Xenopus tropicalis: one gene and its partner. The protein of the gene in region 2 purifies or fractionates together with the protein of the main gene of each other region. This does not show direct contact. Links are inferred from orthologs where the notes say so. Each region holds a gene or a part of one and is shown on either strand. Other genes may lie near its edges. The genes, in order: kif22 and kpna3.

The links.
Region 1: the proteins of kpna3 (region 2) and kif22 purify together in Homo sapiens (affinity purification with mass spectrometry; 3 studies listed by BioGRID and IntAct, counting the BioPlex papers as one, with this or other methods). This does not show direct contact. The link is inferred for Xenopus tropicalis from reciprocal best matches to the Homo sapiens genes KPNA3 and KIF22.

What each region holds. Positions count from the first base shown.
Region 1 is NC_030685.2:2,576,589-2,580,508, reverse strand, and holds the start of kif22 (kinesin-like protein KIF22), read right to left. Parts: upstream 2,551-3,920; 5' UTR 2,254-2,550; coding exon 2,228-2,253; intron 1,322-2,227; coding exon 1,118-1,321; intron 64-1,117; coding exon 1-63. UniProt on the Homo sapiens protein: Kinesin family member that is involved in spindle formation and the movements of chromosomes during mitosis and meiosis. Binds to microtubules and to DNA. Plays a role in congression of laterally attached chromosomes in NDC80-depleted cells.
Region 2 is NC_030678.2:149,379,399-149,383,218, forward strand, and holds part of kpna3 (importin subunit alpha-4), read right to left. Parts: intron 3,652-3,820; coding exon 3,562-3,651; intron 3,435-3,561; coding exon 3,405-3,434; intron 3,319-3,404; coding exon 3,266-3,318; intron 2,998-3,265; coding exon 2,902-2,997; intron 1,729-2,901; coding exon 1,643-1,728; intron 1,272-1,642; coding exon 1,185-1,271; intron 1-1,184. UniProt on the Homo sapiens protein: Functions in nuclear protein import as an adapter protein for nuclear receptor KPNB1. Binds specifically and directly to substrates containing either a simple or bipartite NLS motif.

The DNA of each region.
Region 1 (3,920 bases), on a different chromosome or scaffold from region 2:
TGGCACACAGAGCCCATGTAGATCTCCCGCTGAGTGGCGCTGTCACCATAAAAGGCATCAAACCTGCGCATAAGGGTAGAGATAATAAGCAGTGTGCTGATCATGCCCAGCACCCCCCCCCCCCAGCATGCTGATCATGCCCAGCACCCCCCCCCCCAGCATGCTGATCATGCCCAGCACCCCCCCCCCCCCAGCATGCTGATCATGCCCAGCACCCCCCCCCCCAGCATGCTGATCATGCCCAGCACCCCCCCCCCCCCAGCATGCTGATCATGCCCAGCACCCCCCCCCCCCAGCATGCTGATCATGCCCAGCACCCCCCCCCAGCATGCTGATCATGCCCAGCACCCCCCCCAGCATGCTGATCATGCCCAGCACCCCCCCCCCCAGCATGCTGATCATGCCCAGCACCCCCCCCCAGCATGCTGATCATGCCCAGCACCCCCCCCCCAGCATGCTGATCATGCCAGCACCCCCCCCCCAGCATGCTGATCATGCCCAGCACCCCCCCCCCAGCATGCTGATCATGCCCAGCACCCCCCCCCCAGCATGCTGATCATGCCCAGCACCCCCCCCCCAGCATGCTGATCATGCCCAGCACCCCCCCCCCAGCATGCTGATCATGCCAGCACCCCCCCCCAGCATGCTGATCATGCCCAGCACCCCCCCCCCAGCATGCTGATCATGCCCAGCACCCCCCCCCAGCATGCTGATCATGCCCAGCACCCCCCCCCCCAGCATGCTGATCATGCCCAGCACCCCCCCCCCAGCATGCTGATCATGCCCAGCACCCCCCCCCCCAGCATGCTGATCATGCCCAGCACCCCCCCCCCAGCATGCTGATCATGCCAGCACCCCCCCCAGCATGCTGATCATGCCCAGCACCCCCCCAGCATGCTGATCATGCCCAGCACCCCCCCCAGCATGATGATCATGCCCAGCACCCCCCCAGCATGATGATCATGCCAGCACCCCCCCCCAGCATGATGATCATGCCCAGCACCCCCCCCAGCATGATGATCATGCCCAGCACCCCCCCCAGCAGCACAATTAGGCAGAGGTGCCCTGAAACACCAATGTTACACGGACCCACTAGCACGGCGATGCCCTCACTTACTGGTACTGCATGGTCTCTAGCTGATTCCTCCAGTTGACAATCTCCAGCGACTGCGAGTCCAGGCCCCGGACACACGCGGCGGGCGCTTTCTCATCCTCTTTCTCCATGTAGGGCCTCAGTCTGACGGCAACACGCACCCGGGCCGAGGACGGCTTCTTGTGCTGATCCAGAATGCTCACCCGCTTGGCCATACTGACCGACTCCCTACAAACACAGAGTTGTCAAGCTTCCATGGGAGATCATAGGGAGAAAATATGGCTCAGACTATAAAGCCTAAACCAGGCATCCTCAAACTACAGCCGCGGTCAGGTACGTCCCCCCCAAGGTAATTTACCCGGCCCCCACTATTGTCTGACACAAGGACGCAGGGGGGAGCAGGGGGGCCACAGTATGGGGAGCAGGGGGGCCACAGTATGGGGAGCAGGGGGCCACAGTATGGGGAGCAGGGGGGCCACAGTATGGGGAGCAGGGGGGCCACAGTATGGGGAGCAGGGGGGCCACAGTATGGGGAGCAGGGGGGCCACAGTATGGGGAGCAGGGGGGCCACAGTATGGGGAGCAGGGGGGCCACAGTATGGGGAGCAGGGGGGCCACAGTATGGGGAGCAGGGGGGCCACAGTATGGGGAGCAGGGGGGCCACAGTATGGGGAGCAGGGGGGCCACAGTATGGGGAGCAGGGGGGCCACAGTATGGGGAGCAGGGGGGCCACAGTATGGGGAGCAGGGGGGCCATAGTATGGGGAGCAGGGGGGCCATAGTATGGGGAGCAGGGGGGCCATAGTATGGGGAGCAGGGGGGCCATAGTATGGGGAGCAGGGGGGCCATAGTATGGGGAGCAGGGGGGCCATAGTATGGGGACACCCCCCCCCCCAACAGCCTGCTGAAAGGGTTTGAGGAGCCCTGGCCTAAAGCTACACTCCCTATGGCTCCGAGCTGTACAATGTGCAGGCATTGGTAGGGACTGAAGCCAATGGAATGGTAGAGATCTGGTGCTGGGGGACATATTGGTGCGTTACACACTAGGGAACCGGAAATGAGCTTTCATGGAACTCCCGTGGCTGCTGGGAGGGATAAGCCGTGTAACAGATATGTATAGCGGGGAAGGCTCTCACCTTTGGGGAGGCCCGGTAAGAACCATTCCCCACTCGCTAGGCACTGTCGGGCCTTAAGAACCACGCTCTGGAGTTGACCACACGATACAATAATCCCTCCCGACTGGGACGTTACAGCTCCGATTTCCGCTTCTGGCTGTCGGGGCCTCACAAACCCGACCGGTTACTGTACCTCCTTTTCGTATTTGGCGGCGAAGCGTGCGTCCAGCCAATAGAAAGGCGAGGAGCGTTCACGTGGCCCAGGTTTGCGCGTAAACGAGGCCTGGCACGCACACAAGCGCCTGACTGGCTCATTCAAATTCGGAGTTTACACCACGTGATGCGAATCGGACTCCGCCTCCCACCATGGAATGAACTTAGTGCTCTCTACGGCTAAGAGACATAATACTAATAGCCAATCAAATGCTTGCATGTGGGAGTCGGGGTCAAAGTTCGTCATAGGGTAGGCCCTCGGGCCGCAAGTTCTTTATTTGTTCTTCGTCATAAGACGGATATGTGTTTCCATGGCAACCAAGGCCAAACTGCCTATTGTCTTTCTACACAATAGTTGTTCTGACACCGGGTCTTGGCTTAACTCCAACCTAATGATTGAGGGAAATCGTTACAATTATCCCTCACTGCGTTACACTCGAGACTGGCTCGGTTCCCAAAACAAAGATGGCCGCGGTCGGACATCCATTCCCACCATTTTGCGCCAAAACAGGAAGTTAAGTTGGTCTCCCAATCTAGTAACCCTTCCTGGCCCTGACGCGAATTTCGGGATCACTGACAGTGGGTGCGGGATATTTTGCGGTACGGACCCAGGAACCAAGTGTGCGGGGCGAGAGTGGCGTCAGTGGTCCCGTCATGCTCCGGGCGAGCGCGGCCACTTCCTGTGCGCACAGCGGGCTGGGTATGAGCAGCTCTGGGCGCTAAACCTACGGCTGATCCCTGCGAGTGGAACCTTCCTGAGTGAAAGTGAGTTTGGCCCCATTCCCATAGGGCAGTGACCCCCAACCAGTGGCTCCCGGGCAGCGTGTTGCTCTCAGTGCCCCCAAACCAGGGAGTTATATGAATTCCTCACTTGGGGGCAAGTTTTGGCTGAATAAAAACAAGATTTCCTACCAAATAAAGCCCCTGTAAGCTGATAGGGTGCAAAGAGGCCCCTAATAGCCAATCACAGCCCTTATTTGGCTCCTCCATGAACTTTTATGGTGCTTGTGTTGCTCCCCAAGTCTTTACATTTGACTGTGGCTCCCGTATTGCCTGTTATAATGGGCTCCCGTATTGCCTGGTATTATAATGGGCTCCCGTATTGCCTGGTATTATAATGGGCTCCCGTATTGCCTGTTATAATGGGCTCCCGTATTGCCTGTTATAATGGGCTCCCGTATTGCCTGTTATAATGGGCTCCCGTATTGCCTGGTATTATAATGGGCTCCCGTATTGCCTGTTATAATGGGCTCCCGTATTGCCTGGTATTATAATGGGCTCCCGTATTGCCTGGTATTATAATGGGCTCCCGTATTGCCTGGTATTATAATGGGCTCCCGTATTGCCTGGTATTATAATGGGCTCCCGTATTGCCTGGTATTATAATGGGCTCCCGTATTGCCTGGTATTATAATGGGCTCCCGTATTGCCTGTTATAATGGGCTCCCGTATTGCCTGTTATAATGGGCTCCCGTATTGCCTGGTATTATAATGGGCTCCC
Region 2 (3,820 bases):
TCCTGCCATTCTCTCCTCTATTTATCCTTGCTGCTTCTGTGTGCCATGCTGCCTCCCATTTGTACACTCAGAGCTCCAGTGTGCCATACTGCTTCCCATCTGTACCCTCAGAGCTCCAGTGTGCCATACTGCTTCCCATCTGTACCCTCAGAGCTCCAGTGTGCCATACTGCTTCCCATCTGTACCCTCAGTACTCTTGTGTGCCATACTGCTTCCCATCTGTACCCTCAGTACTCCAGTGTGCCATACTGCTTCCCATCTGTATCCTCAGAGCTCCAGTGTGCCATACTGCTTCCCATCTGTACCCTCAGAGCTCCAGTGTGCCATACTGCTTCCTATCTGTACCCTCAGAGCTCCAGTGTGCCATACTGCTTCCCATCTGTACCCTCAGTACTCCAGTGTGCCATACTGCTTCCCATCTGTATCCTCAGAGCTCCAGTGTGCCATACTGCTTCCCATCTGTACCCTCAGAGAACCAGTGTGCCATACTGGTTCCCTATCTGTACCCTCAGAGCTCCAGTGTGCCATACTGCTTCCCATCTGTACCCTCAGAGCTCCAGTGTGCCATACTGCTTCCCATCTGTACCCTCAGAGCTCCAGTGTGCCATACTGCTTCCCATCTGTACCCTCAGAGCTCCAGTGTGCCATACTGCTTCCCATCAGCTACACCTCAGATTTTCAAAAACTGGCAGAAAACATGCAGTGCCAGATTTCACACTGATATTTTGATATTATATAACATTTTAATATAGTGTATATTATTATTATTATTATTAAAAATTGTGTTTGTGCTACTGTTCACGTATTGTGTTGCTCACGAACAAGTTTTGCAGCTGAATGTTGCTCACGGGGTAAAAAAGGTTGGGGATCCCGGTTTTATGCCATTCACCCCCCTCCCCCTGCCCCCCACCCCACAAGGACTTAACAATAGAGTGAAAAAAATTATTACATTTTTTTCACTTTATTGTTAAGTCCTTGTGTGTGTGGCTCTCTGTCCTTATTTTGGCCAGCATCCAAGGCATTTAAACCTCTATAGGGTGTGCTGGTTACACTTTAATATGCAAAATACAGGTTCAGTTCCAGTTCAGTTTTTGGCCACAATCCTGTGTAGATAAGTACTCAGAAAGATGTATAAATGCAGGGGAAAATGAGTGTTCAAATTTTGTGCCTACAAAAATGCGTACCTATAATGTTTCCAAGTGCCCAAACTGCTTGTTCACAAACATTTTGATGCAGGGAATGGAGAAGTCTCAGGAACAGAGGCACAGCATCTGGGGAGGTAAAAAGAAGTTAGATTTTTGCAAGAAAATGGATATGCACGTAAATAAAAAAACCAACAAAAGCTTAGAACTAAATAAAATAAATATAAATAAAAGGATGGCTGCCTGTATGCATACATCTTTCTGCAACAGCTCTCAGATGTAAATAATTTTTTATGAAAAACAAAACACTGAGGGGGGAAAAAGCATAGCTGTGAGGTTTGTCAGCACATTGTTTAGTTGTTTGCAGACACAGATGTCCACAGCCAAGATTCACAGAAAATTACAGGTTATGTAGCTGCAAAGGGACATTTGTCTGGTGCCACTGTATCTGTATCTTATGTATGAAGTGTTTTCTACAGAAAGCCATTTATCATACTTACTGGACTGAACCACTGCCTGGGTTTGTGCCGAGGTTCCTGATGCTATGTTAGTTAATGCCCATGCTGCTTCAAACTGTAAAGAAGGGCTAAAAAAAAAAAAAAAAAAGAAAAAAATTTTTTTGAAATGATACATTAACAGAAAAAAAATCAGCAAGTACACAATGCATGTAAGTGCAGTGGTACACGGGGCGACTAATCTCCCCACAATGCCATCCCACTGGCTAGAATGTAAATCGCCGGTGGGATGACATACCTATCACTGCAATGTCCCGCAGTCGCCCGAAGTTTCCTCTCAAGACAACTTTGGGCGACTGCGGGACATCCCAGCGACACGTATGCCATCCCACCGGCGATTTACATTCTGGCCGATGGGATGGCATTGCGGGGAGATTAGTTGCAGATTCATAACAGGGCGACTAATCTCCCCGTGTACCTCTGCCCTAAATGAAACAATCTTATTGTACATTTCCTGAGATTTTTTTTTTGTCTGAGAAATCACATGGTCGGCTTCCCTGCTGACATTTTTGTCACTATAAATGTTTCTTATTCTATTTACGGCTCTTGCTTTGCCTACTGACACCGTTATACTTTTAATTTTATGGAACGTTAAAAAGCTTCCCTGTCTCATACAAATGCTGCAGGAGGTACAATTAAATAGTATTTGATTGCAACCAATCTAGGACATGGCTACATTTCAGGCTACTCGCTGGGATCAGCGCTAAAAAACAAATCTGTATGCAGTATGCAGCCAGCCTGACAGTTGTGAGGCACTGGCAGAAGTCACTGGGCGCATATGTTAAGAGGCATCACAATAAATGATAGCAGAGAGTATACAGTTTATCCAATATAACAACTAAGGTATTTCCATAAAGGGCAGCTATGACCAAAAGCTGGCCATACATGGATAGAGTCATTAATACAACAGTCAGGACGGCGCTTATCAAAGAACTATTTTAGTGCTTAAAATATTGTTGCAAAATGTTACACCATGGAGAATGAAAGTTTAAGAAAATGGAACAGTGAAGATAGGGTGTTTTATACACATGATTTCTAGCAGCCATTGACCACAAGGAAAATGAAAAGTGCCAGTGCTGGTGCTTATTAGGCAATTCTTAAATGGTATCTGCCACACTATAAAACAGATTTACCCAGAAAGTCAACCGTACAGAAGCATGTGCATGTAATATCTAACTTAAAAATACGGATGTGACAAAAGCACTTCTGATAATATACATTTACAAAATGAAGATTGTTCTTACTTATCGTCTGCCTCTAAGCATTTCACTAGGATCGGCAGAATTCCCGATTTGATTAGATCATCAATAGGCGGATTTCTGTCACTGGACAGTAATTTTCTGCAATGAAAACACAAAAAAACATTAGTCCTATAAGACCCTGCCTAGCCTTAGAATTAGTAGCTTAGTAATGATGTAGCTTTGACACAAGCATGACTTCTGCACAAGCACTGACCTCTCACACATTTTATGGTTGGACTCTATCTAGGTAAAATTACCTATTTTAAAACACTGTAATTGGCAATCTTTCATTTCAGAATATATAGGACCAACAACAAGATCAAGATATGCGTCTTCTCATAGAAATATTAGATCTTAGGCTCTTTACCTTGCTGCTTGCACTGCACTTAGTTGGATTGCTGGATTATCACTGGTGGCATTCTGCAAATGAAGAGGATAATTATAAGAACACTTGCAGTTAAGAGAGATGAAAGCAATTAAGTAATGCTGATCAAAACTATACATACCTGCAATATTGCTTCGAGTGTTACATTTTGCTATTTAAGAGAAGAGAAAACATCAGTTGCTAAGTTTACAGTAAATGCTACCAGTATTTGGAAAATGCATATAACAACCAGATATACAAGCACAGATCAAAAACAGACTTTGGGTTTCAGAACATACCGATTTAAAATCTCCATCGACATCTGAATCTTCTAAACTCTCTTCTTGTGGGACATTTCTTTTTTTCAACAGGTGCTCGTCTCGTTTGTTCTAAAATGAAAACAAATGTGGATGACTAAATAATCTATTAAAGAACTAGGATTTGTTGAACCCCATATTTCCGAACAGTTTAAGAGTTATTATGTATGGGCTTTTGGGAGACCGGTTTGAATGCACTTAAATGCATCAGCTAATTGATTCAATTATATCCTGCTAGTTG